Arabidopsis thaliana: one gene and its partner. The protein of the gene in region 1 interacts with the protein of each later gene in a pairwise test. Each region holds a gene or a part of one and is shown on either strand. Other genes may lie near its edges. The genes, in order: UBC28 and MUB5.

The links.
Region 2: the proteins of UBC28 (region 1) and MUB5 interact in a two-hybrid assay, tested with the Arabidopsis thaliana proteins (one study listed by BioGRID).

What each region holds. Positions count from the first base shown.
Region 1 is NC_003070.9:23,831,284-23,848,033, reverse strand, and holds UBC28 (ubiquitin-conjugating enzyme 28), read right to left. Parts: upstream 14,484-16,750; 5' UTR 14,363-14,483; intron 14,285-14,362; 5' UTR 14,243-14,284; coding exon 14,173-14,242; intron 13,558-14,172; coding exon 13,432-13,557; intron 13,343-13,431; coding exon 13,215-13,342; intron 13,149-13,214; coding exon 13,044-13,148; intron 12,958-13,043; coding exon 12,814-12,957; 3' UTR 12,498-12,813; downstream 1-12,497. Other genes in the region: AT1G64260 (MuDR family transposase), read right to left, coding at 1-278; AT1G64255 (MuDR family transposase), read right to left, coding at 828-3,080; AT1G64253 (DEK carboxy-terminal domain protein), read right to left, coding at 3,842-3,918, 4,002-4,032, 4,123-4,208, 4,828-5,815; AT1G64235 (Bifunctional inhibitor/lipid-transfer protein/seed storage 2S albumin superfamily protein), read right to left, coding at 11,414-11,785; TOM7-2 (translocase of outer membrane 7 kDa subunit 2), read left to right, coding at 14,713-14,946; AT1G64210 (Leucine-rich repeat protein kinase family protein), read right to left, coding at 15,171-15,757, 15,825-16,750. UniProt on the Arabidopsis thaliana protein: Accepts the ubiquitin from the E1 complex and catalyzes its covalent attachment to other proteins.
Region 2 is NC_003070.9:29,278,387-29,294,608, reverse strand, and holds MUB5 (membrane-anchored ubiquitin-fold protein 5 precursor), read right to left. Parts: upstream 9,647-16,222; 5' UTR 9,433-9,646; coding exon 9,303-9,432; intron 9,225-9,302; coding exon 9,048-9,224; intron 8,951-9,047; coding exon 8,895-8,950; 3' UTR 8,527-8,894; coding exon of another isoform or gene 8,446-8,526; 3' UTR 8,269-8,445; downstream 1-8,268. Other genes in the region: AT1G77890 (DNA-directed RNA polymerase II protein), read right to left, coding at 1-27, 281-342, 561-633, 806-930, 1,131-1,208, 1,331-1,402, 1,510-1,583, 1,665-1,764 and 2 more; AT1G77885 (uncharacterized protein), read right to left, coding at 4,005-4,238; AT1G77880 (Galactose oxidase/kelch repeat superfamily protein), read left to right, coding at 7,542-7,934; KOM (Rhomboid-related intramembrane serine protease family protein), read left to right, coding at 10,151-10,461, 10,949-11,112, 11,209-11,372, 11,459-11,727, 11,819-11,945, 12,071-12,193; AT1G77855 (BPS1-like protein), read left to right, coding at 16,221-16,222. UniProt on the Arabidopsis thaliana protein: May serve as docking site to facilitate the association of other proteins to the plasma membrane.

The DNA of each region.
Region 1 (16,750 bases):
AAACTAGAGTCGTTCAACACGGGAAAATGTACATACGTAAAGAGATCCGGTGAAACATCTACAGGGTACTTACCGAAGATTTTGAACTCTGATTTCTGCTTATCTAATCCAAACAATTGATAAAGCCTATCCAACAATCTGCTTAAGGCAGTCTTTCGCATAATTGTGATCTTTTTAAGAATGGATCCTTCATAGTATACGCCATCAGCACCATACTTAATATAACCATTCAAGTGACACAACACCATAACCTTTTCTCTGACTGTTTCAATCGCCATGAGCACAACAAATCTGCAGTGAATTCAAAGAAAAAATGTAAAAAATTTAGGCATAGCTTCCTAAAATGAAAAACCCTATAAAGCTCAATATCAACGGTAATGTACAGCTCTAAAAGGAGAAAGCTTTCTAGCTATAGAAGCAGATAAACTCATTCAAAAACATAAACCCTAAACAGTGATACTCAAAACTAAGACTTGTAAAGTTTTACGCAACTGAAAAGAAGAAAAACAGGGAATTTGGAAATGGGTGTCGCAGAAAAAAGCTTAGATCTTTCAGAAATGGAAGTAATTTCACCTTCGCTAACGATTTCGCCGGTGATGTTACTGTTACAGGTCAGGTCACTGATGAAGACAACTACTACAGTCTACAGGGAAATGAGAAATATAGCTTTTCGAAATTTTATAACAGAAAAAAATATAAAAAAATCAATTGGGCCGACGGAAGAAAGCCCGTGAATATTTGTAGCTTGTTTTACAACTGAAACCAGATTAATCCTACTTCCCTAAAGTCATAAGATGCCCGGCTCGGTGCAAACTCAAATCCATCTTTCAGCTCTTCTTCTTAGTAGCGAGAGGAGTAGTTCTGCATTTGGTACCTGATACGTAAGTTGGAGGTGATGGAGGTGGTGACGGTGGAATGACAGGAGGAAGCAATCTCGGAACTCCAGAAGCTTCCGGCCAAGCTGACATTTCCGGAACATGAGAGAAAATGGTGGCGTAAGTTCTTTTTAACCGTTCAAGAGTGTAACAGTCGTCTACATACTGTAAAGGGTTGAATTTCAACTTCTTGCAGACGGCTAGAGCGTGTAGACATGGGAATTTGTAACGCTGAAAATCCCCGCATGTGCAGCTGCAGTCGCTCAGCTGAACAATACATTCACCCTTATCTAACGCTGTTGCAACCTGAAAGGCGTTATTGTCTAAGGGCGTTACAATGTAACTGTAAGTAACGAAAGTTGTCCTGAATTCTTCAAGCTTGTCCATGACAGGCTCGGTGTACACATCGCCGCAGTTAAGAGAACTTCGGCTACAACTAAAAGACTTGTCAAACTTGGATCTCAGTTCATCAAATAGAAGAAGCACGGAACCTGTCACTACATGACCAGCCTGCTCAAATGCGTTACAAACTGCAAACAAAGCTTTTGTATTTATCTCCATGATTCCATATCTCCGACCATTGTCATGAGCCAGAGCCCACCGATTTTGAGGGAATTGGTCTAACCATTTCCGAGCTTCTGGGTTCTTCTCTTTGATGTCATTCATGTAGGAAACAAACTCATCCTTCTGACTCGTGGACCCAGCCCGCCTAATGCGAGCCCCCAGGCAGAAGCTTGGAAAAACACGAGAGAATTGGGAGTAAAAATGATTCAGACTGAACCTGTGATAAGCCCAAGGTTCTTGCCACTGAGACCCAGATTCGTTGACAACAGCAATTATGTCGGGGTGGGGACTGGAAATGAGGCAAAGGCCTTTCCTTTGTGTAACCTTCTCTCTGATTCCAGTGAGAAACCAACGCCAAATATCAGTAGAAACTTCTTTAGTAACCGCAAAGGCAAGTGGAAAATATTTGTTGGCTGCATCAACTCCTGAGGCAATCATCAATTTCAATTGGTACTCACAGTTCAAGTTTTTGGTATCCACTACGATCAGAGGTCTACAGTGTTGAAACCCTTCTATAGACTGTGGGAACGCCCAAAACACACCACAGAAGGATGCAAAATTAGGATTAGGAAAAAGATCATACTTCCAGTCCACAAGGAGTCCATTAGATGAACAAAGGGCAGACATTAACTTGGGAAAATCTTCAAAACTTTGATCCCAATCTCCAAAAACTCTTTTGATAGCTTTCTCTTTCGCTAACCGCACATCAGAAGTTTCAAGCTCATAGCCAATTTTTTTTTTCCACCACTTCTTCAACTCTGAAATTGTTTGTGTGGGCATATACCTGACCGCACGTTCAATCTCATCTGTTTCAAACTCTGATTTGAAATCTTCTGGAACAATGGGATGACAAGTATGTGGACCAGTATACTTGATTATCTCGACAAGTCCGTGCTTTTTCATTCTAGCGGCTCCAAGTGACCACTTGCATTTCCATCTGATGCACTCAAAGATATACTCGTCCTTTGCAGTCTCTCGTACTACACACTTTTGCTGAGCTTTAAGGGAACACCAGTCCACTGCCTTCTTCAGCTCATCGCCATCTTTAAAGCACAATCCTACTCGCAAGTCATGATCGTCAAGCCACAAACTAGACATACACGGTTTTGAAACATGACCAGAAATGGAATCTTTATTCAAAGTGCTGCTATCAACCAAGTGTACCACGCCATCTGATTCTGAGTTTCTATCCGTCTCCCTCTCTAACTTAACATGTATATCGGTCTTCTGTCTTTTCGAAGAACCACCAAGAATGTCTGAAGGCGATGAACAAGTAGCAGGATCAATAACTCCAACGGATGTCGATTCCACTTCCAAATACAGGTCAATGTCTTTAATATAAGGATGTTTGGTTGTAATCTCAAGCATAGTCTCCAAACTAGTGTCGTCCACCACGGGAAGAGGTTTATACTTAACCCTAAACGCTTGAATATCTGTAGGATATCTACCGATTATACCAAACTTTGATCTCTTCCTATCTAACCCAGTAACTTGATACAGATGATCCAGCAATTCGTTAAACTTAGTCTTTCCCTTCACAGTGGTCATTCTATAATTGGACCCTTCATAGTATATGCCATTAGTGCCATCCTTGATGCAACCGTTCCAGCAACAGAACACCGGAACATTTACTTCAGACATGAGCACAACAAACCTGCACGGAGTTCAAAAGTAAAAATGTAAACTTTGGGGATGCAAACCCTTTTCTCTGACGTTAGGGTTTCTCCGGCGGTATGAGGAAGACAAAACGACAAAAAAATAAAAAACAGTTGGGCCAAAATAACAAGGCCCAACTATATGTTCATCAATAATAAACCCGTTCATCAGTAATGGGTAACCCGTTTAGCTTGGTTTTAACCAGACTGAATTTTCACATACAAATAAACCTGAACCTGTTTGTTTCCTAAGTCTAGTTCTCTAACTTTCAGGTCTTCTTAAAGTGGGCATGAATAAATCCTAAGGAGATGCTTCATGTTAAATCCTAAGTTTCTTCTTACTTACTGATACAGAAAAACTAGGATCTGTTTCTTCAATCACAAACAATCGATCAATCAACCAAAATAACACTTCCGATTAATATTCAAGGATAACAATGAGCTCCAATGTTCATAAAACAGGGGAGACTCTAGATTCACCTTGCAAGAACATTGTTCTTCACAGAGGATGAATCATAATATTCGAAACCCAGAAACCTCAAAGAGAAGAACAACAAACTTCAACAACTTTCACGATTATGATAAAATGTTCCTGATCCAGCTTCTTTTAAACGCAGGCAATCCACTCGTTTCCATCTTGGCCGTTACTTCATCTTTTAATCACAGCCCTCCACGTGTCTCTGCTCCCTTATTATTTCCCATATCACTTACTAACTTACTCCACTCCTCATCCTCGGTCTTGTCTTCTTATGAACTGAGCTCATTTTGGATCATCGTCTTTATAGATGACTTTCTTGGGGTGAGGTCGATTTCGAACTTCTCAGCTGTAAAACCAGTTTAAAACAAAGCAAGTTACAAAGACGACATCGTCGGTGAAGAAATAAAACGATCTGATCTTAACTCATACCAAGTCGCTTGAGGACGTCAGCAATCGCGGTCTGTCAGGAAATAACAAAGCTATTATTAGAGACTTATAGATCAATTTATCTTCTAAACGCACATAAATTTTTTGAGGTTTGAATCCTAACCGTTTTCAAGTCCACAACTTTCAAGATATCAACAATTGCATTTCTCAACTCTTCATCACTAGGAGGCACCTTGGCTTTGTCATTTACTAGATCAAACAAAGACAGATAAACACATGGCGTCAGAAACATAAAAAGATAAAGAAAGATATATCAAAATTGATGATGACACTATACTGTAATTCTTCATGTTTATGAATCTAAGGAACCATCGTTTAATAAGTACTCAGATTGTTCTGAATCCTAGTCTTGACTAAAGCTATCTTTCGTATTGAATTGTATCCATGCCATAGTAAATACTTAAGTTAATATTGAAAGTAGAAACATAATGTAATGCAACTAGTAATGTGTATACCGATATTAGTTCAGTTTTCAGTCATGATTCTTGGTTTATTAAGACTATTAACCAAGTCAAAGCAAATTCAGGATTAATCGACTGTTAGTTCAGGGCAAAACAAAATGCAAATTCACGTTGATTTTCACAAACAAAAGCAGCAACACATGTTTTTGTCACGACACTACGATATATAACCCGAACCGGTTTAATCATACTTGCCGAAAGTCAAAAGATACTACATAATCACCAATCAGTTAGCACAATCCATACAAAAACCTCTTAAGAATTGACTCAGTTTCGTACCAAATCCATCTAACAGGTTCAGATTTTCGTCTTACTAGTGCGAGGAGTAGTTTTCCATTGGGACTTACCTGATACGTTAGGTGGCGGCAGAATGACCGGTGGAAACAGTGTCGGAACTCCAGAAGCTTCTGGCCAAGCTGCTACTTCCGGGACAGGAGAAAAAGTGGCAGCATAAGTTTTGTATAATCGGTCAAGAGAGTAACAGTCGTCTACATACTGCAAAGGGTTGATTTTCAGCTTCTCGCAGACTGCTAGAACGTGCAGACATGGAAACTTCTTCAACTGAAACTCCCCACACGTACAGGACCATTCACTCAGCTGAACGATCCATTCATCCTCCTGTAATGGTTCTGTGACTTGAAACAGACCTTTCTCTAATGGCATTACAACGTGAGGGATGGAATCTGTCATTAACTTTTCGAGCTGGTCCATGACGGGTTTGGTGTACATATCTCCGCGGTTGACCCTACCACTGCTATCACAAAGACCCGAGTAAAAAAAAAATCTCATCTCATCAAACAGAAGCAGTGCTGTAGCTGTCACTGGCAAACCAAGAGACTGAAAGCTTTCACAAAATGCAAACAAATTTTCTGCATCGATCGTCATAACTCTGTATCTCCGACCACTGTCATGAGCTTGAGCCCACTGATATTGAGGAAATTGGTCTAACCATTTCCGCGCTTCTGAGTTCTTCTTTTCGATCTCATTCATATAGGAATCAAATTCTTCCTTCTCACTTGTGGATCCAGCCTCATACACAAGGTTCTTCAGGTAGTCGTCTTGAAAAACATAGTGAAATTGGGTGCATATATCATCCAGACAGAACATGTGATAAGCCCAGGGTTCTTGCCACTGAGATCCTGGTTCGTTAATAACATCAAGTATATCAGGGTGGGGTCTGGAGATGAGGCAAATGTCTTTCCTTTGTGTTACCTTCTCCCTGATTCCACTGAGAAACCAACGCCAGGTATCTGAGGATACTTCTGTGGTAAACGCAAATGCAAGTGGGAAATAGCAATCGTCAGCTTCGACTCCTGAGGCAATCATCAATTTCATAGGGTACTTACCCTTCAAGTCTTTGGTGTCCACTACGATCAGAGGTCTACAGTGTTGAAACCCTTCAATGGACTGTGGAAACGCCCAAAACACACTACGAAAGGAAGCAAATTCAGGATTTGGAAAAAGCTTGTATTGCCAGTCCACAACTAGCCCATTAGATGAGTGAAACGCAGCCATTAGATTGGGTAATACTCTAAAACTCTGATCCCAATCTCCAAAGACTTTTTTGATCACTTCTTGTTTTGCTGCTTGCATCTCTGAAGTTGCAAGCATGTCGCCAAAATTTTCAAACCACCAATTTCTCAACTCTTCAATTGTTAGTGTGGGCTGTACCCTGATCAGACATTCAATCTCATCTGCTGCGAATTCCACGTCATAATTATCTGGCCCTATAGGACAACAAGTATGTGGAGTATTACACTTGGTTATCTCAACAAGTCCGTGCTCTTCAATTCTAGCTGCCTGAAGCGACCACTTGCATTTCCATCTGATGCATTCAAACGTATACTTGTCCTTCTCGGTCTCTCTTACTACACACTTTTGCCGCCCTCTAATAGAGCACCAGTCCACCGTCTTCTTCAGCTCATCCCTGTCTTTAAAACACAACCCTACACGCAATTCATGATCATCAACCCACAAACTGGACAGAGGCCATGATTTGAAGTACTTGACTCGGCGTTATTCGCTGTCAAAGTAACAACCTGTTCCACCCCATCCGAACCCGAGTTTTTATTTGTCATTTCTCTATCTACATATCCATGAGTGCTACCATTTCCCAATGCAGCATCTGCCTCGTCTTCAATCCACCCGTTACTGTTATCCACTCCCTGAACCTTTAAACCATTAACCCTCTCTAATTTAACAGATGAATGTGTCACATAACCAGTTGCTTCTTGGGTCCTCTGTCTTTTCAAGGAACTACCAAGATTTTCTAATGGCGATGAACAAGCAGCAGGATCAATAACTCCTTCAGATGTCGATTTCACTTCCAAATACAACTCCACAAGTTTAATAGAAGGATAATTGCTTGGAACCTCAAGCATAGTCTCCAAACTAGAGTCGTTTACCACCGGAAAATGTAAATACGTAAACAGATCCGGTGAAAGAACTGCAGGGTACCTACCAAAGATTGAAATCTTTGATCTTTGCTTAGCTAATCCAAAAATTGGATAAAGCCCATTCAACAGTGTGTTAAACTCAGTATTGCGCTTAACTCTGATCTTTTTAGGACTAGATCCTTCATAGTATACGCCATCAGAACCATACTTAATACAAGCATTCGTATAACACAGCAACATAACATGTTCTCTCAAGGTTTCCATCGCCATGAGCACAACAGTCCTGAAGTAAAATCAAAGAAAAATGTAAACTTTTTGGGCCTGAACTCATAACATACAAAACACTAGAAAACTCCATATCTAAAAACAAAGGCTAAAGATTTTTAGGGACAGAAGCAGATAAACCCATTTAGGAAACATAAACCCTGAACAGTGATACTCAAACTAAGACTAGTAAAGTTCCAAGTACCTGAAAAAGAAGGGAGATTTACCAGCTGGGTGTCGATATCAAGCTCGGATTTTTCAGAAATGGAAGTAATTTCACTGTCCTCTCAAGAATTTCTCCGGTGATGTGAAGACAGCTGCAAGAACATCATATGACAAGGGAAACTCACAAATATTGCATTTCGAAATTTACTACAGTTCTAAAAATGAAAAGAAGAAAAAGTACAGAAATAATGTACAATTGGGCCGAAATAAAAAAGCCCATTAATGTTTGGGCAAAATAACAAGCAAATATTTAAATCCTATTCCCGCCTAAATTTTCATGTCCCAATGATTTGATACTTCTTCTTTTCTTAAAAATGAAATAAAAATCAATAGAGATACATGAAAATTAGAAAACTGGTAAGTACGATTTATTATACGTTTTTAGAGGTTGATTTTATCCACATTAAGCCTCCTCGCAGATACAAACTTTGTTGAATATTAGCTGACAAGATATGAGGATTAGACGGAAAGAGATCGTAAAGAAGAAGAAGAAGAAGACAGTGGGTTTAAGTTTCCGATCCCGTTTAGCTTGGTTTTCATATCGCTTCAGGGGATCACTCAAAGTTGCAGCACTACAATATATAATCAGGACTAGTACATAATACATAATCACTAATTAGTTGACATAACCCACCAAATTGCCCGATTAATTTTCACATACAAAAGCAGTAACATATCATGTCTCCGTTCTTCCTAAATGTCAAAAGATACTACATAACTAACATAACCACTAATCAGTTAACATAATCCACCAAAATGCCGGCCTTGCTTTCAGGTCTTCTTCTTATTACTGCGAGGAGTTGTTTTGGCTTTGGACTTACCTGCTACATTGGTTGGGGGCGGTGGCGGTGGCAGAGGAATGACCGGGGGAAACAATCTCGGAACTCCAGAAGCTTCCGGCCAAGCTGATAACTCCGGAACAGGAGAAAATGTGGCAGTGTAAGTTTTGTATAACCGTTCAAGAGTGTAACAGTCGTCTACATACTCCAAAGGATTGATTTTCAGCAACTTGCAGACAGCTAGAGCGTGTAGACATGGGAACTTGCAACTTTGAAACTCCCCACACGTGCAGCTGCAGTCGCTCAGCTGAACAGTCCATTCATCATTTTCTTGAGGCGCGGTGACCTGAAACGCATTATTGTCTAACGGCATTACATCATAAGTAACTGAATCTTTCCTTGACTCTGCAAGCTTTTCCGTGACTGGTTCAGTGTACACATTGCCGCATTTACGAGAACCACGGCTAAAACAAAAAAACTCATCAAACGAGTGTCTCAGCTCATCAAACAGACGCAGCACATAACCTGTCAATACATGATTATCCAAATGAGAGACATTAAAATCTTCAAACAGAGTTGTTGTCTCTATCTCCATGATTCCATATCTCCGCCCATTGTCATGAGCCAGAGCCCACTGATTTTGAGGGAATTGGTCTAACCATTTCCGAGCTTCTGAGTTCTTCTTTTCAATGTCCTTCATGTAGGAATCAAATTCTTCCTTCTGACTCGTGGATCCAGCCCGCTTCACAAGATCCTCCAGATAGTAGTCTCGAAAAATGCCACTGAATTGAGAGAGCAGATGACGCAGACAGAATCTGTTATAAGCCCAGGGTTCTTGCCACTGAGATCCGGATTCGTTAATAACAGCAAGTAAGTCGGGGTCGGGACTGGAAATGAGGCAAAGGCCCTTCCTTTGTGTTACCCTCTCTCTGATTCCAGAGAGAAACCAACGCCAACTATCAGTAGAAAGTTCTGTAGTAAACGCAAAGGCAAGCAGAAAAAAATTGTCTGCTGCATCAACCGCAGAGGCGATCATCAACTTCCATTGGTACTTACAGTTCAAATTTTTGGTGTCCACTATGATTAGAGGTCTACAGTGATGGAACCCTTCGATAGACTGTGAAAATGCCCAAAACACACCACGGAAGGATGCAAATTTAGGATTAGGAAAAAGATCATACTTCCAGTCCACGAGGAGTCCATTAGATGAATGAATGGCAGCCATTAACTTGGGCAAATCTTCAAAACTCTGATCGCAATCTCCAAAGACTCTTTTGATAGCTTCATTCTTCGCGATACGCACGTCCGAAGTTTGAAGCTCATAGCCAATTTTTTCTATATACCACTTCTTCAGCTCTGTAAATGATTGTGTGGGATGTATTCTGATCACACGTTCAAACTCATCTGCTTCAAACTCCATATAGGAATCTTGTGGCTCAATGGCACAACTACAAGTATGTGGACAAGTATACTTAATTATCTCGATAAGTCCGTGCTTTTCCATTCTAGCGGCCTCAAGCGTCCACTTGCATTTCCATCTGGCGCACTCAAACATATACTCATCCTTCTCAGCCTCTCGCATTACGCAACTTCGCTGCCCTCTAAAGGAACACCAGTCCACTGCCTTCTTCAGCCCATCAATATCTTTGAAGCACAATCCTACCCGCAAGTCATGATCATCAAGCCACAAACTAGAAAGACACGGTTTGGAAACACCAGAACTGGAATCTTGATTCAAATCCTTGAGGGAGATATTGTTATCCTGTGTCAAATTAACCACTTGCGCCACTGCATCTGAACTTGGATTTTTATCTGTCATGTCACCATCTCTACCGTTTCCAATGTCGACATCTTCTTCATCTTCAATCCACCCGTTACTGTTGCCCTTCTCTAACTTAACAGGTATATCCATCCTCTGTCTTTTCAAGGAACTACCGGGATTTGCCAACAACGGCGAACGAGCAGCAGACACAACAACCCCATCAGATTTCACTTCCAAATACAGTTCTACATTTTTAATAGAAGGATGTTTGCTTGGGACTTCAAGCATTGTCTCCAAACTAGAGTCGTTCACCACAGGCAAAAGTAGAAAATGAAGCATTGATTGCGGTTGAACAGCTGAAGGAAACCTACCGAAAATTCTAACCTTTGATCTCCGATCATTTACATCTAATCCAGTAAGAAGATACAGCTGATCCAACAATATGCTTAACTCAGTCTTTCTCTTAACTTTGATCATTCTAGGAGTTGATCTGTCATATACCCCATTGCTACCATACTCAATGCGACCGTTCCAGTAACACAACACCGGAACCTCCATTTCAGCCATGAGCACACCAAACCTGCAAGGAATCCAAAGTAAAAATGTAAACTTTATTGCTAAATCCTTGTTATGCACAACCCAAGAAGAAACAGCAGCCACCTCCTATCACTAAAACAACAACATGAAAGGCCTAAGTCCCTAAAATGTATGGAATGGTACATCAAATTCTACAAACAAACAAAAAACTAAATACAAAGCAAAATAAAAAATTCAGGGGATAAAACCCTAACATGCAAACCCTAAAAATTATAAAGAACCCCGAAAGATGAAAAATCAATTTTGATCTCTAAAACAACAACAACAAGGCACCGGAGCTGATAAATCCAGCAAAAAATTGTTTTAAAAAACCCTAGAAAACAAAACACAACAGTATAGTCGTCTAAGTTATAGATGTTTACATACCTGAGAAGGTAAAGGAGTATTAGGAAGTTTGGATTTTCAGAAATGGAAGTAATTTGAGTTGCATTAAGGAATTTCCCGGCGATGTCGTCACGACTGAGGAAGACAACTACACTCTCACTCTCGCACAGCTTTGCAGAATAAGAAATAAAGAGTTCGGAAACATCAAAGTGTTGGGTCGAAAATAGAAAGCCCACTAATAAAATTGCCTGACTTTTGACTACGAGAGAGATGATCTAACGGGAGATCCAACGGTTATCAACGAGACAAGTCACTCTGGGGATGAAAATTAAGAGAGTCAACATTGTTCTTTTTTTTTTTTTTTGGTAAAAAGTAAAAACATTGTTCTTTTTATCCCACATTTTTATCATATTATTACGTTTATGAATGTTAGCATGGACAATCCAAACTTTTGTATCTATAAGAGTTCATGATTTAATATGAAATCATTGATTCTTACAAGCAAGGAATATGGGAAAGGTGGAGAAAATTTCCCTAAATTGTAAACTATCTATAATAGGGTTAATATAAAAAAAGAGTCAAAGACTCAACGTATCTTTGGTGTGGTGTCTCGAAGTACTGGGGGGTTGCTTGTTCGCATCGCATTGTTGTTATTTCCACATTTTAGGTTATGAATACCACAAGACTTGAGACGAGAGCTGAGGACATTGGTCTTGATCTTACTGGTTTTAGTTACATCACAAAGACATGGTTGTTGCTCTTTCAAAAATTTACAACATTCGGTCGATATCTTTAATCCACTATTAACAACGTCCAAGCAAGTCTGAATCCTACTTTCTTCACATGATTCTCTGTCCCTCTTGGATCTACTTCCGCCTGCACCGATAGCTTTTGTTGGAAGCGGTAATGATGCCAAGAGAATGACGAATGTAATAAGCAACAATCCGACGGTCTTCATGCATGTATATATAGTTGTTTCTTTTAGATATACCTATAGCAAATATTTTGGATTCCTTTTGTTTTCTGTGCAAAACATGAGAATTTGTTTAGGTATTTCTTGGATAATGAAGGATTCCAATTGCATGGTATTGCGTAATGAACGCGTTTTTCCTTGTTAATCAACATGAACGTAATTAGTTGCTATGTAAATAACTAAATATAGCCTAAATGATTGGCTAAATCACTACATGAATTATTTTCAGTATTTAGAATATTTCATTGGTTAATAATAATACACCATGATTTACAGATTTTACATTCAAATCATCATAAATTAAATGAAAATTCAGATTGAATGAAAAGTTGGATGATCTAGCTAACCAATAAATCTACAGTTTATTGTTTCGTAATAATATGCCTTTTGATTTCGCTTTCCATTTCATAATGAGGTAACTTAATTCAATGGTAGATAAAGTGTACCTTTATTCTTTGATTTGAGGTATTTTTAAATTAATGCACATATGGAATCATTGATCCCTTACAAGCAAGGGAAATGATAAAGGTGGAGAAAATTTTCTGTAGGGTAAATTTATCACTTTGCATTTCATACAAGGGTAAATTTCGAATTAATATGTTAATCAACATCTTCAAAATCATGCAATTTTTATTTTATTTTTCTGCAAAAATGGTTTTATTTCAATATTTTCTCAAACACGGAATTTTGAAAATTTGGTAGCAAATGTCAAATGTTCCCATTTAATCATCGTCATACTTTGTTAGGTAAAAGCTCAAAGTTTCCAGCTTTACATAAATAATTTTTCTTATAATTTTTTGGAAAAAGCATAGAAACAAAGATAGGGAACATATGGATAATAAAGAGGTGAAGTAATGTTTTTGTTTGAGATTAAAGAGGTTTCAAACAAAGAGATGATAAAACATAGGAATCTAACTTATTTCATGGAAGATCCCTATGTGAAGAAGTCCTCTCTCTTTCTCTCTCTCTCTCTATTAAAACCGAGTCTGTGAGGGATCAAAGGACACAAACTTTCATCCCATTGCATATTTCTGAGTCCAGCTTCTCGCAGTAGACTCATACTTTGCTCTATCGGTTTTGTACATGTGAGCAATCTCTGGAACCAATGGATCATCTGGGTTTGGGTCCGTTAACAATGAACATATCGAAAGCAAAACCTATAAATTCACAAGAGATTTGATTAAAATAAGAGGAGATTCATTATATATCATCCACTGCTATTGGTTAAAGAGTGCTTTTTCACCTTCGATATGGTGAGTGCAGGACTCCATTGTTCTTTCAAAATGTCAAGGCAAATGCTTCCATTGCTGTTGACATTAGGGTGGAACACTTTTGTCCTGAATGCAACCTGCAAGAAAAAGAGCATTTTGAATTCCAGTTCATGATTTCAGTTTGGTAACAATGAATAATTTACCTTTGGTGGTTTGAAAGGATAATCCGGAGGGAAGTGAATGGTTACGAGAAAGACACCGCCTGAATAAGGACTATCAGATGGACCCATTATTGTAGCTTGCCAATGAAACATGTCTTCAGCAACTGGGCCTTGAAGATTTCACAATTGTTCATAGAAGGAAAAAATAGAAAGATTAGTCTTTTAAACATGATGATCTATGGCATTTACTGAAATACACACAACAAAACATGTGCCATAGCAATGTCCTGAGACTTCTCTAGCAGAAGAATGCATGAACAGTTTGAGAATCTCCGACAACAATCCTCTAACTCTATTAAGACCAACAATTTCGACGCATTATCCACTTATCATATATTTTAATAAACAAAACAAACATGTATAAACCTGAATGCAATAGATAACTAAGAAAGACTATCAGTGCGAGGTATCAAGTCTGTAAGATCCGTTATGGATACTTGGATAAACAAGGCAGCATACAACACCAAAAGCTTAATTCTAAGAAAATTCACAACTTTCAATAGCTATTTCCTAGACTATGATCATAAGATAACTGCAACGACCAATCTCAACTTTGTTCTAAGAAAAATCTCAACTTCCAACTGTTATCTTATTAATTATGATCAATAGTATCCAGGATGGGTAAATGGATCCCAATTTTTAACAGCTATCTTCTAGACTATGATTATTAGAAAGCTGTAATTTTCAATCAAGGATCAGTACAGCCATAAATTTGTTCTGTTCTAAGAAAAATCTCAACTTTCAATTGGTATCTTCTAAACTAAGATCATAACTTAGCGGCAATTACCACCTCAAGATCTCTAGATAACTTCGTTATAAAATTACGAAGACTAAAAAAGATTTCATTTTTTTGTTTGCTTAAAGATAAGATTATAAGATCTAACAACAAAGCTCAAAAATAGATCAGACACGATTTACGAGAGGAGAGGTAAAGACTAACCAGCACTGCAGGAAGTTGGAGGATCCTTCTGGAGATCCTTGAGCTCTTTCAAGATCCTTTTCGAAGCCATTTCTCAACCAAAAAAAAACTCCTAGATCCAAAAAACCAAACCCTAGATAGATTCAGCAACGCAACAAACAAAGGAAAAGCAAAGGTTGAAAATTTCCGATAAAGGATTGAGCTTTTTTACCTCAAGACAGATCCTCCAAACTCGGTTTTGACGATTCACTTCCTGCAGATGATTTTTGAGAAAGAGACAGAGAGAGCCTTTGAGACCTAACGAATAAACAAAGAGAGAGAAATTTTATTTATGTATGCTTCAAATATAAATAATGACAGCTATTTTCCAGCGAGCCAGAGAATCATTATTGGATAAACATACTTTTAATAAAAAATAAAGGACCCTCTGAGTTAGACAGAGTGTTTCATAGAGGCTTTAAAAAGGTGCTTAAACCCTTTAGGGTTTTTGTCTTCCAGCTAAATCGACTCTGACACAGAGATAAGCAGAGAGAGAGAGAGAGAGTTCTGAGATCAGAATCAATGGCGGCTAAAAGTACGTTGAAGATCAAAGGCAAAGCAAAACCATCAAAGGGATCATCATCATCTTCGTCCTCCTCTGCATCATCAAAGTACAAGGTCTTCAAGGATTGGACCAACTGGTCATTACAGAAAGCCAAAGTCGCGACTCACTATGGTTTCATCCCTCTGATCATCATCATCGGCATGAACTCAGATCCTAAACCTCATCTTTTTCACCTCCTCTCTCCCGTTTAATCCACAAATTGGATCTTCTTCGTAATGTTCTTCTTAGATGCTTTTACTTTTTTTCCCAAATTTGTTCTGTTTTCTTCGTTTTATGAAATGGATTTATATTTGTTTCTGATTCTATAATTCAAAGTCTCATTCTTTTTTGCATGATTCAAATTCAATAAAATCAAATGATCTATGAAGAAACAAAGAATTTGCTTTAATGGTTACTACTACTAGTTTGTGTTGTCTCACTCTGCATCAACTGATCGAATATCTTCAATCAATTTCAAAACTTGAGCTATATGAGGTCTTTCTTGTTGCTTCAGAGCAACACAAGCCAATCCTATTTGCAACATCTCAACCATCTCCTCCTCGAAACCACCTGATTGACTCAATATCTCCATATCAAACACTTCTCCAGTCCACTCTTTAGCCACCACAGATCTTATCCAGCTAGCTAAGTCCATGTTCTCACCTCCTGTTGGTACTAATTCTGCTTGACTCACTGGTGATTTCCCTGTCAAGAGCTCCAGTAATACCACACCGAAGCTGTATACATCCGAAAACTGTGTGCTTCTTCTTGTGTCTGTTATTTCAGGTGCATGGTAGCCAGAAGTAAGGCAAGTGGTTTGAGGAAGTGATCTCATGATTGTCGTCAAGCCAACATCGCCTATGCAGCCATAGCATTGTGAGTCTAAGAAGATGTTTGAGGATTTGATGTTTCCATGTATGAACTTCCCTTCGTGGATTTTAGCTAGCCCTCTCGCTGCACCGGTTGCTATTCGCAGTCTAGCATCCCAATCTAACGGTACTCGATGATACCTTCCTCTGTTTCCTGCAAAGAAAATGGAACCTTGTAGTTTCGATTTATCATCAGAATGAGAGCAATGAAAATAACTAACCGTGCAGTATTTCGAAGAGGCTTCCATGATTGTAATAGCTATAAACCGCGAGCTTATCGTCTTTGGAGTAGTAGTAAGCCTTTAGCTCAGCTACATTTTCATGTCTGATCATACCAATGATCTCCATTTGTTGCTCAAACTCTCGTCTTCCAACGACAACTTCCTTCAATCGTTTTACAACGACCGTGCTCATGTCCTCCATTGTTACCTTATAGGTTGTACCAAAAGCACCCTTCCCCAAAACTTCTGCAGATGAGCTTAGCAAATCATCTAAATCAAATAAGTGGTTTCTTCCACCAAAGAAGATGATCTTCCCGCCTTCTTCAGTGTTATCATCTCTAGATGTCCAGTTTCCTGGAGGAGAAGACGAGTCTCTCTTTCGCAACTTCCCGGAGATTCTAGTCTTCCCGAAACAAGTGATCATTATGAATGATAATCCGGAAACACACAAAACGCAAGCTGCAGACAGAATCAGCAAGAAAGCAAGTTGGCTTAACCCGAAAGGAGTCTTGCGTTGTTTCTTCCTCTCGGTAAGGTTGTTGCCAGAAAAAGCTGAACTTTGGAATCTTTGAAGAGACTTTGGTATTGTACCGATGAGCTTGTTGTTGGACAAGTTGATCTGACTCAGTTTTGGAAGATGAAGATTTGGAATTTCCCCTGAGAATGAATTGTTTGCAAGATTCAAGACTTGAAGGCTAGTCAATCCTGAAAGAGAGGTTGGGATGCTTCCGTTGAATCCATTGTTAGACAGATCAAGAACCTTAAGATTCTTCAACTCCGAGAAGATAGCTAGTAGTGGACCTGAGAGGTGGTTATGTTGTAGGTAGAGATGAGTCAAGCTCTTGAGATTTGTGAAATCAGAAGGGAAGTCTCCGGTGAAATGGTTCTTTCTAAGGCTTAGAAACTTGAGAGAAGAGAGACGACTG
Region 2 (16,222 bases), 5.5 Mb from region 1:
ATTGGTACAAAAAGGGGATACCCATTGCTGGCAGAAAAACAAAACAAAAAGATCGTTTAAATCTCTAACTCTAATGGAGACACAAACAGTTCCTGTCATGTCAATGTTAAGATCAGTGATCCTATGTATCTTTATTACTCAATGAACAAAGTCGAGTCCCTACCTAAGACAAAAAGCTCCCAAATATCCACTAAAAAATGGCCAAAGATCTCTAATATCTTATCCTTCCTGTGTATTTTTTTATACTATTATAAGTGCTTATCAGTCAAATATGGTTTACCTTGGAGAAGATGGATAAGAGTTCCAATAAGAATCTCGTTCCCATATTCTTGAACAAGAACCCTGAGACAAAACAATACAGATTTTTTTTTGTAGTCAATCAATCAATTTCCAGATGAAAAGTAATATGTTGTCAATATTAACAAATTATCTCTCAATTTTATTTCCTATGCAAAGATTGCATGCAGGGAGTTTGTGTATGTATGTGCGATTTTCTCAGACTTAGTTACTGAGGCAACTGTTTTCAGCATAAAATTGAGTGAAAATGAGTTGGCATCTACCGCGAAACCCAAGTTATGAAGTGCAGGCACTGAGAGCTTATGGACAACAAGATTCAGAAGCTGCACCATGTACCTGATCCAACCACCAACCATGGGAATGTTAATTCATCAAATATAATAGATGATTATGAGTAAAATGATCTGCAGGAGTAGAAGATGCACTTAGGAGATTGATCTACAGTCTACATATATCTTAAATTATTTCTGTACAGCAAAATTACTGTAAAAAGACGGGGACATGTTACCCTAATGAGGCTGCGAGCTCTTTTGGCGGAACAGAGAGTGGGTTGAGACCTTGTGGTAAGAGAGCATTGCAGATTTGATCATATTGTACACTAGACCCATCTTTGTTCTGCCCCTCTACTGTCACCTGAACATAGTTAGATTCAGTAAAACCATCCTAGAAGATGTGTACAATAACACAGCAGTCTGAAGAGAAATTCCAAGATGGCCTCTGGAAGAAAGAAGATGTGTTTACCAACTTCTTTTTGGCATAGACTCTATACATTAACTATGAAACCTGTATTTTAATAATTGAAGAGATAAGAACCTAAAGTTGGATGTCCTTACCCGGGATAAAGGGAATAATTTGCATATCTGTTTCATAACCAAAGCCTGTTTATAAAGGCGTTCCGAAGTTAGATCGATCTGTACATATGAGATTGGATTTTTTAAAAAAGTGAGACACAGAAATGAGTATATGAGTCCTAGTAAAAGATCTAGTTCAAGCATAGTCATAGAGTTAAAGTATAATGAGATATAGATCTTACATATACCAAGTAGTGATTGCCAATAGTATCTGAATAGTGGTTCTCTAGTTGGTGAACACGGCTCTCCTCTAACTGCAAAAAATGAGACTATTTACATTAACCATAGCAAAATTAATATCATACAAATCCCTTTTTAAGAGAGAAAAAGCAGCAAATGAAAAAAGAAAGTATCACATTACAGCAACGTTAGTTGATTCAATAATGCCATATCTCTCTTTCAGATTGCGAGATAGACTCCGAAATGTGTTTTTGCCTGCATCATCATGAAGTAGGTCTATTTAGACTTATTGTTACGAAGGCGAAAGACGAATTACTTAAGGGCGTATGTTCAGACTTTGCTGCAATTTCTCCACTTGTAGCTGAAGCTTCTCCCGCAACTTAGCAAGCTTCTCATTCTGAAGCTCCTTCCAACAACGTTGACTAATTGCTTTCTCCTGGTCAATAGTGAAGATCACAAGCAAGAATAAGACATCATTTAACACAAGAAAAGCAAATGAATCTCAGATCAGACTTAAAACTCAACAATGAACCTTTGTGACAAGTAAGCCACTTAATCTGAAATACGAAACCTCCCGAAGACTCTTCAACGAGTCCAACTTGACCTTGTATTCGTTTAACCTGCACACAAAGTGCCATCAAATCCGAACTCGTAAGAATTTGAAAGATTCCAAGATCATATCAGATTGTATGAGAACCTGATTATACCCGCGATTAACACAATCTACACAGATTGAGGGACGAAACGACTTGTAGCAAACAGCACATTTGGTAGATTTCTCCATCGATCCTTCGCCGAAGCAGACCAAAATTCCCCAAATTCTTAGGGCTCAGTGACAAATCTAACGCAATGAATCTGTCAATTCAACAATATTCTCCCATCAGAACACCAATCTAAAAGTTCTAATCAAAAGATTGTTGAAATTCCAGGAGACAATGAGCATAAGAGTTTGATCGGAGAGAACTGACCGGTAGAATCCGCCGGCGCCGGGGAAACGTAGCGTCCGGATGACGTAGGAGGAGGATGAAGCGGGAAGAGAATAGAAGAGAAGAAGGAGGATTGAATTTGAAGGAGAGAGTCATTGCGTGAAGATTTAGCAAAGAGCTTAAGGAAGAAGGAGCAATGGACTTTTACGAATTCAAGTTACGTGCACAGAACCTTCCTCTTCTTTTCTTTTTTTCTTACACTTTTTGACCTTTTATTATTACTTTATTACTTTTTGCTCCTAAACTCTTTGTCTGTTTAGTTAATGGTCTTTTAACTCTTTAAATTGCTCAATTCCCCCTTGTTGACATACATTGTTAACTCACTTGACTGAATTGATATGTTTGGCTGATATAAAACAAGTCTGTATCAATTTTGACTACCTGCATACAATATACGATTTTGTTAAATCGGTAAAAATAAAAGCAATGTTATAAGATAAAACATCTAATATCATGATGCATGACACTATCTCAATATAACTAGATTAGATATGCCAACTTGTTACGAGAGAATATATATTTAAGGTAATTTTGTTGTCGTTTACTTTTGCTTTTTCTTCTTTTATTGTTGTTTTCGTGTGTTCTTTACTTTCGTTTAATTATTTTATAGTTAAAGGATTTTGTTTTGGTTGCTTTATTAATGAGTCAGTGGGTTAAATATTTCTTCAAACAAAGCTCGTAATGGATTCATTGAACTGAGACTCTGCCGCCAGTTTAGCTTGTATTTTTTGTGGAATGGTTTTTGAACGACGCAAATTTTAAACATAGATTTTGCCTGACTTTAACGTTAGGTCGTTAGCGTATGCTATGAAATCTAGTGAGATCCACTTAAAAGCTTTTTGATTGGCTGAAAAAACAAACCGTCACGAGCAGAACCTTCTCCTAATCACCCTCATAGATTATTTTTGTTTTGGTTTATTTTTCACTACTCAATATTTTGAACATCCACTAATTTTCTTTATATTCTTAAAACCCCACTACTTTTTCTTTTAAAAGTATTTTCCTATATATTTTATCTTGTTTTTGTGTCTTTGTATATATTTAATGTGTGTGATTTGTCGTGACATATAATAAGAGCGCCAAAATAGTTTGTTTTTATATTTGTATAGCGCCGAATTCATATTTGGATAAATATTGCTACAACCGAATTTAATGGTTTATGCAATATCATGGTTTAAATCTAGATATTCTTTTATGTGAGTTGCAGTTAAAAAAAGAAGAAGAAGATTAGTACAGTTAGTGATAGATTATTAAACTAAAACTATGTCAAAAGTGCCAAATGGTTAACCAACTAAAAACTAAATCTAGATATGTTTATTTTCATATGTTTGTATTTTTGTATATATATATATATATATATATATGGTTTAAAAAACACTAAAAAATAACAATTTTCGATTTTCTGAAATACGAAATATCGTGGCATACAAGTTTAGTTGGTTTGGCATAAAACTTATCAAACTAGCTGTGGTATTTAGGGAATACATCCATTCTACATACATATATAGATTTTCTCATATTTTTGTAGTTCATATTGTACAATGTTTACCGACTATTTATAAAATCACCCAATAAAGAAAAAGAGAAGACACTAGAAAAAGCCATTAAAAAAAGACCAATGAAAATAAAACAAAATAAAGAAAGAAAAAAAAAAAAGGCAAAGAAGAGAAAAGTTTTAATTTCTTCTTCATCACTCAATCGCCATGGGATCCGAAACTTTAGCAGAGCTTTTCTTCATTCCCGGCTTCCCAAAAAACCACCGTCCGAATCTTCTACACCCACCTGACTTCACCGGCGCCTCCTTGAAACTTCCTCCGCCAATCTTTTCATCTCCCTCGCCGGTAACCGTCTGTTTGGCCGGTTTCTTCATACTCTCTCTGTGAAACTTCCTCACCGTGTAAACTTCTGCGATAGCTAGCGACATCTTTTACCGGTTTAGAAAATAAGACAAAATTATGTTTTGAGGAAAGGCAAAACAAAAGTTGTTGTTTGGTAAAAACTTATATTGGGAAAGATGAGTGTTGTTGCATTTTTGGGGGAGAGGTTTGGGGACTTATTTATAGATAAATTTGGTGGGTTCCATTTTACTGAATTTAGTGGGTTTGTTTGCCACCATATGCTGTAGTACTACATCTCTTTTTCATAAATATAATATATCTTGTTATGATATATGTTATATTAAATGTGTATTTTTTAAACAATTTAATGATAATTTCGTTTAGGAAAACAATTGAAGATCTGAGAAAGAGTTAATGCTGTTAAGTAAAAAAAGTTGAAAGAAAAATCTTTGATTGTGTAAGGACAAAAGAAGAATCGAACTCCAAAGAATTTACTTACATGAAATTTTTTTAACATAACATTCGTTCATGGCTATGACATGAATTTAATTATCATCTACTTTATCGTTTACTAATTTGAAACTGAAATTCTCAGTATCCATCAAATTATTAAAAAGTGAAAACAAAATATTCACATACTAAACGACAGAAAAGTTAATGATGAAATTTTGATTATACTTTAGTCTTTTTTTACTGTATCTTATGCTCGCATGCTGTAGCTGTTATGACTTCTCTAAAAACTTTTATTTTCTTAATGGACCGATGACCGATCAATATTTCCTTTTGTCTACAGATCAATCCAAAATTATCTACTAAAAAGATGCAAACTAATCTCGAAGGGATAATCAAAATTGTGAAAAGGGGCACAACAATCAGCAATCGACGTAAAAATAGTTTCTTTAAAAACAACTACACTTTGTCTTAGAGATTTTGAAAGCGCATACACACTTGATTTTAGATTTTGGTTCAGTAATATAAAATAAAGTACAAAATAATTTTTATAATTTAACAAACGATATGGATTCATAACGGTAATTAACTAAAAATTATTTGATCGTAGTAAAGTATGATGGCTATTAGAAAGTTTCAAAACAATTAATAAACAAAAAGTGATCAAGATTCGAGTGATAATCCAAGAATGTATTGGAGAAGGCCTGAGAGGAATCTGACTCGGCCGCCAATTTAGCTTCCAAATGATAATCGAATCGACCACAATATCCATAAACGTGTCCAAATTAAGAAGCCAAGAACATATAGTTTTAATTTAAGTGTATACCTAAAATATATGCCAAATCTTTATTCTATTTTATATCTATCATATTTCCGATTGCTGGTAGTGGACTTCACACTCATCTAATATAAATAGCATTTCTCACTCTCTTTTTTTTTTTTTTTGTCTGAGATTTGTTTGTGTTTTTAGTCACGTTTCTTATTATGTGGTTCCATTTCTGGATAATGCAGACAATTTTGTTCTTGCATAATCTAATTATTTGAGCGGTTATATTAGATATTGTTCGATATATTCGTTATTCATTTTTTTTTTGAAAATGTCAAAGATCCGATACTAACTCCATTTTTGTCTTTCGGCAAAAGAGCAACATACAACAGTATTCGACATTTCGGTTTGTATTCACCACGTGTGTCAATGACAATTCATAATCATTTTGACGCTGAAAATAAAACACAAAACACTTCCACATACTTTTGTTGGTGTTACAAATTCCACATCGAAAATACGATGAGATTTTTGTGAAAAATCATGTGGAACGAAGTAAGTTGTTATCGATAAGAACAACATAAAGCAAATATTTCTGTAGATGTAGGAAAAAACGTAGTACAGTAAAAGGAAACATCAATATAAGAAACAACATTTTTAATTTGTAACACAAATATTATTAACGCTTTTGAATTAATTTGGCATCTTTGAAAATCGATTGAAGATCAATGGACGGTTGAAAAATGTATGTTATTAACGCTTTAAACTATGCAAATTACAACTTAGTTTATATTAGTATAGAAGGTACTCTCCAGCTTCCTTCAATGTATATATAAACATAAAATTAAAGGGTGAGGGAATAATATTGGCCTATAAAAGTTAAGTGTAGAATAACACGAGGACTCGAGGAGGCTGCCTGGCTGCGCCAAGATCTATATATAACAATTACAACGTTTTATTCTATTAGTAGAGAATCATTTTTAAGTCAAAAATAATCGTCCAAGTGAATCAGGCAACAACACACTAAACAACTTGCATTTATAATATTTTCGCAAATCATAACATTGATAGACAAAAAGGTAGTTTAATACTACTTTGTATTATTGTCGTTATTGCATCAACATTTAAATTCTAACAAGCATAGTACATGTTTATGATTGAATTAAAAGTACAAAAATATCTAACATGGGGTCACTTCTAATCATAGTGCTAATCTACTTTATTTATATAAGATCTTGAGTTGAATAGTACTAATCCTCAGTGTTTATAGAGTTAATATATATAGTCATCTAATTCGTTTTAGTTATGTCATCATTTATTAGGTTCCAAAATCCACTTTCGAATGAGCTACAGCCAGTTTTAATGCAAGTATTCGTTAACTATACTAGATTAGTATACAAAGAGAGTGATTATATAATTGTAGACCATTTCTTTAAAGTTATATAATGTGGGTGTTTAAACACGTAAGGCGTCGTGATGCAGAGGCAACTACGAGAAAAAAGAAAAGAAAACCAAACTTTAGGATCAAAAGAAGAGAATCCTTATCCCATCGTTCGTACCATATAACATATTTCACAATCTATTTAATATTCTCTATATATTTAAAAAGAGAAAAAAAAAACTAAAAAATCCGGAAAAAAATAGTTTATTTTTTATGATGTTTAATATCCAATTACTTTTTGGTTGAAAGAAAAATATATATAGTAATTAAAGTGTGCGATTTAATAGCTAAGAAATAAAATACAGTTATTTTTGTACTCATAATTTCATAACAAAAAACAAATTTCAATTTTACCTTTACAAATGAATTAACTATTAATTTTTAAATGATATAAAAAATTTTAGTAACATATTAAATTTAATAAAACTCTTTGGAAGTGAATTAAGAGAGTGGGCTTGAAATCACCAAAAAAAAAAAAGAGAGTGGGCTTGAATCAGTTAAAAGGCCCATTGAGAACCATCAGAATCCCCGAAATCTCGTTCTTCTCCAATTGTTTTTTTTTTCGTAAAAAGGCTTACGATTTAAATTAAATAAAAGAAAAGAATACAGGCCCAGCCCAATAGCATTTTACTGACCCAAATTGTTGAGATTAGCGAAATAGAAAAAAGCATTTGTCGGAGAAGAAGAACTGTGTTGGTCGGTGACTGCCAGAGGATCAAGTCGTCGGTGAAGATGAGGAAGAAGAAGAAGAAGATTGTGTTGAGTAGCACATCTGAAGCTGAAAAGGTTAGTATACCATATCTCCCAGACGATCTACTCTTGAATTGCTTAGCACGCATCTCTAGATTGTACTACCCAACTCTCTCGTTAGTCTCCAAGAGATTCCGCTCTCTTCTCGCTTCCACAGAGCTCTACGAGACCCGACGGCTTTTAGGTACCTCCGAGAGTTGTCTCTATTTCTTTATGACTGAGAGGCGCAACGACCATGAGGTTTATGGGAAAGTTGAGTGGTGTCATGTTGTGCATACGTTGCCCCTATTCAATTTGTCTCGAGCACTATCTTGTTACCACTGTTTGAGTCATTGCTTCCTCATGATCATATATATCATTTTGTTTTCTATATGATGTAGGATTTATGGTTTGAATATGATTGCATAATGCATACAATCGTTTCGAGAACTTGCCATAGCCAATTCTTGATTACATCATGTTGATTTACTGACTTGTGGTTACTAGTTTAACTAGGCTGGAAAAAACAGAGAATTAGGCACTTGAAGGACAAAAGCAAAAAAGGGGTCATTTTCAGAACTAGTCATCCATAATAAACTTAGTGTACTATATAGTCATCCATAATAATCTTAGTGTACTATATAGGTTGATTGAAAGCAACTCATGTTATATCATATTGTCATGTCATACCATCATTTTCCTCACCCATTAACTGATAGTGGACCTACTCTCCATCTTAAGGCCATAAAATGGTGTCCCTTTCTAATCAAAACTTACCCTACAACCTTCCACAATGCATGTGCTGATTTAGTAGATCTGTATAGTCAGACCAAGCTTCCAGATAAATATGCTTAAAGAAAAACACAGTAATTATTTTATCATCACTCAGTTTCTGAAACTCTTGCAGCTCTTTCTTGAAGCAAACATTGTGATGATGAAGTATAGAGCCATAAACAATCTAATTGAGGAAATGCTCAAGCTTGTGTGAAGATGTAGTGATCACAACAGATAAAAGTTGGAGCATTTGTTACTATGTGGATGGATATACATCTCTAAGTAAATATTGTAGTGCTCTAAAGTTATATATAACTAGTTATCTTCTTGTGTTATAACAGGTCCTTTCAAGCAACTCATATTTGCTTTTCACTCATATGAACAAATTTTTACATAATACCTCAATCTTCAACAACACAGTAATTTTTCTTAAGCCATTTTTGATAAACAATGAAGAAGAAAAGGAAGGAAGAAAAACCAAAATCATTCTGGTAATGAAGATCCATGTTGAAGACTTTAAGATATGGAAAGTTTTTTCCAATGGAATAAATTGTATAAAGGATCAAAAATCTCTAAGTGGAGCTACAAAATGCAGCATACACAGTGACTCTTCCTTGGAGGATCATTCTGCAGTTTCTCTGAAGAAACAAAAGAAAACATAAAAACAAAGCTTTGAGATATACAAAATACACACAAAAACACTCAAGAATTGAAGAGAAAATGTATAGAAATTACCTTTTTTCTTCTCAAAGAGAGGAGGACGAAGAACAACATGCATTGTAGTTACAATTCCAGGAAGTTCACCAATAGTTATTAAGGACCTTGCTTCAGAAAGTGTTTTGTTGTTCTCAAGTATCTTCCCACCATTGATGAGCTTAACCTCATTTATCATCTTTGGTGCGTTTTCTTTGTCTGTCCACAACAAGATTTTCAACTTCACCTTTAAACAAATAGCAAAACTTTTGAGAAGAAACATAGAAAATGATTTACCTTTAGGCCATTGAGCAATGATTTTCTCCTTGAGAGATGCAACAGTCATGAATTGACTATATTTGCTTGGACCAATGTCGGTACCATCTGCGAGTCTGAACTTCAATTCTATTAAATCTTCATCTCCCATCTTTAAATTATTACCTCAAGAAAAGATCTCTAGAAAGAAGAAAAGCAGAGAGTTCCGTTGTCTTTGAGCAGAGCCAAATTTAGAAAATAACAATAATTGGGTCTCTTACTCTCTTTCTCAACTTATATAATAACTACCAGAAATCTCAAGATACAGTCATCTCTCCATTTACATTTATACAAATCTGAATTTACCTTTTTGGTTGACTATATACGATAAATTTGCAACGTATATTTAGCATACTAAGTACTAACTATAAATGATTTGGATTATATGATGATATATTAACATAAGCTTTTATGATCACTTGTCATATTAGACGCCAACCAAAACCAACCGTCACGAATACATGAATCATTCCTTGCGTACATTCCACAAACACGATACATTCTTTGCTTGAAAATAGTAATTAATAATGGCTTAATGATACTAATCTTTTTATATGTTCACTGAATCTTTTTTTAATAAAAATAAAATACAGAATCAAATGCGTTGAAAAAATTAATCCAGCTATATCTTTTAAAATTTTGATTTGAGTTTAATACAAATGATAATGACGTGTATAGTAAGCGGTACACGCGCTCTAAATCAATTCCGAACCGGATCGTGAAACGGTTAGCGTTCGGTTTGCTCTCCAATAACATTTTCCCGCCAATTTCTACAAAGTATAAAACAACCCATTCGTCATCATCCCCTAATTTCTCGCTCACCTTCAACAATGGAGGTTCCTACAGAGTCAAAGACGACGCAGATCGATGAAATCTCTCACAATCTCTCGTTTACCACTTCTAACGCCGGCGATTCTAGCTGGGACAAGATCTCATTCTTCCGTCACCGTTCACGGCAAATCAAACGAGACACTTGGCTTGTCTCCGTCTTCGTTCTTCTTCAGATCGTCCTCTTCGCTGTAACTATGGGCGTCAACGATTGCTCCGGGAACTCTCACGGTCACTGCTCCGCTAAACTCCTTGGCCGATTCTCTTTCCAGTCTCTCTCCGAGAATCCTATGCTTGGTCCCTCCGCCTCAACGTAAGTAGCTCTCTCCGGCGGATTTCGCTTTTGGTCTCTGCTTGTAACTGATTTTGGAATCGATCTCTAATTGAATTGTTAGATCCTTTAGAGATGGATTTTGGATGCTTCGTTGCTTAGACCTGTAATTTTGGATGTTTCATTCTGCTCATCTTTTGGATCGGTAACGATAGGTTGCTGAAGTTTGTTGGATTTGGATGATACTAGTTTCCAAGATTGATGAGTTTCAGCTGATTCATAGTGTCTCAATCTCTGATTACAGTGACAACCGACAAGTTCTTGTTTACAATTCTGTGTTGTTCTAGTGTGTGTGTGTGTTTATTTGTGTGGCTCTTGGTGCTACATTCTGTTGATGAAGCAATCTAATTCAAGTGGTGGTTCTTGTGAGAGCTCTATGTTTCAGAAAATTAAGGGAAATAGGGGTAACTTGAGCTATCAAATGACTGATTATAAGCTATGGACTACTTATTTTCTTGTGAGTTTGCAGGTTAGAGCATATGGGAGGTCTTTCTTGGAAAGCTCTGACGGAGAATCATGAGATTTGGCGTATTTTGACATCTCCATGGCTGCACAGTGGATTATTTCATCTATTCATAAATCTTGGGAGTTTGATTTTCGTAGGGATATACATGGAGCAACAGTTTGGACCATGTAATTTAGACTACTTGACTTTTGATTAGTCTGTTTTGGATGGAATCTATCACCTTTCTAATCCACCTTTCTTCTGCTTTTGCTTTGGTTTTGTAGTGAGGATTGCAGTCATATACTTCCTCTCTGGCATTATGGGTAGTCTGTTTGCTGTGTTGTTTGTTCGGAACATCCCATCAATCTCTTCTGGTGCTGCTTTCTTTGGGTTGATTGGAGCCATGCTTTCTGCACTTGCAAAGAACTGGAATCTATATAACAGCAAGGTCAAGGATTTCTTGTGGTTCTGTTTTGTCTCTTGTTATCTTCTTCTCATAGCTTTTCTGATTGTATTTTCTTTTGCTTGGTACAGATTTCAGCCTTGGCGATAATATTCACTATCTTCACTGTGAATTTCCTGATAGGCTTTCTCCCTTTCATAGACAACTTTGCAAATATTGGTGGTTTCATATCAGGATTCCTCCTTGGATTTGTGCTATTGTTCAAACCACAACTGAGACAGATGCCTCCATCTCATAAGGGGAAATTGTTTGAAGATGATATGAACAGATCCACAAGGCTTAAAGAACAGTTTGACAGACCGGTATTAAGGATTATATGCCTGCTCGTGTTTTGTGGAATGTGAGAATTTACCTCAAATCTCTTTTTGGTCTAGTTTTTTTTGTTTTATCTACGCTCTTGTGACATGAAAAAGCTTTCCATCTCTGTTTAGACTTGCCGGGGTTCTATTAGCAGCATGCTGGGGAGTCAATCTCAACCGTCATTGCCATTGGTGTCGCTATGTTGACTGTGTTCCAACCAAAAAATGGAGCTGCAGCGACATGACTACTTCCTGCGAGGTATATTCATCTAAACCATAACCTTTGTTGTGACCCTGAAACTAGAATCTGAGTCTATATATATGCAAATTCTGAGTCTGATTAGTGATTACAACATTGTAAAAAACTATATGTGAATACGACAGGCAATGGTGAGTGATGCTCAGCTAACACTAACGTGCATGGCAAATGGAAAGTTCAGGATATTTCCTTTCACCAATATCTCACAAGCCAGGACAGAAGACCTCTGCACACTCGTATGCTCTTAAAGATGACCAAGGCTTCAACTCCTTCATAGATCTAATATACTCACTCCCACACTTGAATAATTGCATATACCAAAATCACAAATCTCGTAAGATTCTTTGGTCAATTCTGGTAACTTTTGTTTGTAGCCTATAGCCTTAACGGATAAGTGGTAAATGTTTTGTAATGAGACTAATGTTTTGGTTCTATGAATGTAAATACTAAAGTCTACGAAGTTTGGTCCCATATGAGAGGACCCAGTAGCCACATTAGTTTCTTACACAATCCACATCATATCTACGCACACATGACACACCAACAAGTAAGTATAATATTGAGCTTCTTCATTTTTTGTTCTTTCATTTATTTGCTTTAGGAGGAGTGATGATGATAAATAGGTGTGGCTTGTGGGTGTAGTAGAATGAGAAGAAAAGGGCCGGCCTTGACACAGAGATATATATAGATAGGGTCACTAAAATTAATTACTACTATTTTCTAAGGGAATTTTGAATAAATAGAATTGAGAAATGTGCTCATAAACTATATTAAAATATATCAGAAGAAGCCCATACTGTGGACCTAAACCTCATTAAGCTACTCAACTGCCTACGACATCTCTACTGGTTTCATTACTCTTAATGTCACTAAATATGCATTTTACTCAAATGTTTTTGTTGTTTGTTCTATACTAATATTCCTTTTATGTTGCTACAACATATTTAAGTCACTCAATTTATGTCAGTTTTTTCTTCAGTTAGCCATCTTTAATATGTAATTTCGCATAACAATTACAATTACTAAGAATTAGTCTAGATTTTTTCCAGAACTCGTTTTAAATTCAGTTAAGTGGTCTCTCTCTGGTGTATAAAAGCGAAGACCTACTCTGTTTTGTAATCAGTTGACTTTATAACTTTATCCGGTTAATAGGGATGTGAAGCCAGAATTAGAGCGGATGGTGGTTGGGGAAAATTTGGTTTGGCAGCTTTATATAAAGTGTTGTAGTATTTTGGAAATTACCCACAAACCAACACAAGTTTGGAACTCCATCTTCTTCAGATTTTTTTAGCATTTACATACAAAGTCAGTTGATCAAAATTCTTGCATTGTTGAAACAAAAAATTTTAAGTTATGTATGTCCAATATGTATATAAAAACACTTGTTGTGTTCAATGTATAAACAGTACAACTTTCTCCAATCGTTCTTTCTTTTAGTTCATACTATATGATTAAGATCGAGAATTTGGACCACATCAACAAGTAATTAAAAAACAAATTACAATTTTCATGTGCATCAATGATAAGTGGAATATTACAACCACAAATCTCTACCATTTAACGTTGATATGGCATATACCTTTGCATCCTAATTTCGGCTCAACACTTTTACTTTTCTATTTTAAAAAAATATTGAAATCAATCAAACGTATCTTAAGTAGCGGTTCTTGACCCTCTAAATAATCAACTCTTCCATGTATCTCCACCGTCCGATTAGATGATTAGTGGAGTGCTTATCAGTTATTAACTTATCAACTTTTCTTTTCACCCTTTAAAGGTTCTTTTGACCTTATAAACTTGATTACTAGTGTTGATCACATAGCTTTTGGTTTAGGTAAATCGGGTATACTACAATAAAAGTTACAAAACTTTTAACCGCTGTTATAATCTTGTTTTCCCAATCGAGTTTTAACAAAGTCGTAGACGACTCTATAAAGAAAACTACAGTCGTACATATTATTCTCTTTTCAAAATGACTTATCTTAGAGTTCAAAGTCTTGAACACTTACTACTATAAATATATATATATGAAAGACTAAAAGATATATATATATATATATATATATATAAACATTCTCAAATTTCAACTGGAATTCAATGGGAAAATGAAGTGAAGAGACTAATAATGTAATATGAAAATAGGAAGATCAATTTCAAAACGGCAGACGGAAAGAGAAGAGAGGGTATGGACCAAAAACAGTTGTTTCCTTATCTCAAGCCATTACTGAGAAAACGAAACATTCTCACAAATCTACTAGCACTCTTCTCTTTTGCTGGATTGATAGCTATTTTATACGTACATTGTAATTAATATACATATTATTACTTTACATTTGACCAAAACATGTAGATTTTTTGTGATTTACATTTTTAATATAAATATTCCTACCAATAATACAATATTCTAGACTTGCCGAGTTTTTTAAGAATATTATTCTGATTTATTGGGTTTTTAGTTCTCTGCTATCAATTCATAATACTTTTGTCTGTTTGATTTGTTGACAAAGAAATAATACTAATAAAATTGTGACCCAAAAAGATGTCTAAGAACAAAATAAACAAAGGTAATTAATGGCGAAACAAAAATTATTGAGTCGCCCGACGCTTCCATTAGATTTGATGGCCCCCTCTCTCCCACACACTTCACCACTCAATTTTTCACACACTAAATATACACACACATCCACAAAGAAACACATGCGTAATTAATATGGAGTCACTAATTGTTGACCAAATAATTTTGGATTCTTGTTTTATTGATTCGAATAGAAACAGTTTTTTCCTTGTCTACTAAGGGAACATTATATATATATATATATATATATATTATATATTTAAAATTGTTTTTGATTTTGTCCAAAACTATTTAAGGATTTGGCCCCGTGGTTGTTTTTCCCGATATGACGTATTTATTCTTGATCATCCTAACCGAAGAACCAAATTTGTATATTAGTGATAATTATTGGTGGTTAATGGAAAAAAAAAAAGGTTTCGAAATTTAAAAAATTTATAAATGAGTTGAGTATAGAATACGCGCCGGCTTGATAACGGGAATAAAGCAACTTATTTTCCTTTTGCATTAACTAATTTTAGTTTTGTTAAATATTCCACTGCGTCATTTATATGTTATATATATAATGTCTTTGACCAAAAAAAAAAAGTTTTTTTAAAATAGTACTACTTCTTTTCTTGGTATCCGCCGTCGAATGGGTCCGAAATACCACTTTGGAGGTATGAACTTGATTGATTTTTCATTCCTTGTATACTTTAGTTACAGTATTATAATATGAACGAATCTAAATGTTTATACAACATTATCTTATCTATCTCGATTCATTGAGCCATTAGTATATGAACTATTAATACAAATCATCACACAATCAAGTTTGCTTGATGGTTTCATTTGTTAGACTAAATTAGGTAATTATGGTTACAGAATATTTGTAACTTATACCTATGTACAAATTTATACATTCAACTTTTGTTTGTGCTTCAAACTATTTTTACACAAAGCTATACTAAAACACACACACACAAGGTTCAGAAGTTCTGAACTAAATGATAATTGTTATTCAATTTCTTTGTTTTCTGCAGCGAGTTATAACTCCTAAATCATGAAATGGTATTAGATGCCTTTGTACAAAATCTAAAAATGCTAAAGTCGTATACTAAATTACTAGTAATATTCGATTATTTATGTATTGAAAGCATGATCATTATTCGCTCTACTAATCATCAACTACTAGAGATTTTATTCGGACAAAGAATCTATCTAATAAATCCCAAGCAGAAAAAAAGAAAGATATGATATGAGTAACTTCTAGACAAAAAAAGAGTTAATATTCTAATTTCATTTATGTCTCCGATGTACCAGAAAATAGATGACAAATTTATATGGATTCCATGAAAAACCAGTACTTTTCCAATTCTCAACTCTTTTTTTCTGAATAACAATTTCTTTCCATAATAAAATTAAGTTAAAAAGATATGAAAAATTGAGATATTGGTATTAGCATATACCAATGATCATTTTCCTCCTCTATAGGAAACAACCATCATTGCTCCAAACAATCACTTTCATCCTTACATAATCTCTGCTTCTTCTCTTCTTCTTATTATTCTCTTTCTCTCTCACTCTCCTTTTCATCTATACATACACATCCAAATCTCTATATAACCTTTTAATTCTCTCCTTCCCAAATCTCTCTCCCTATAATCTCACCAATAATCAACCAAACAAACCAACAAACACCAAATATTTTTTAAGGGTCAATAAT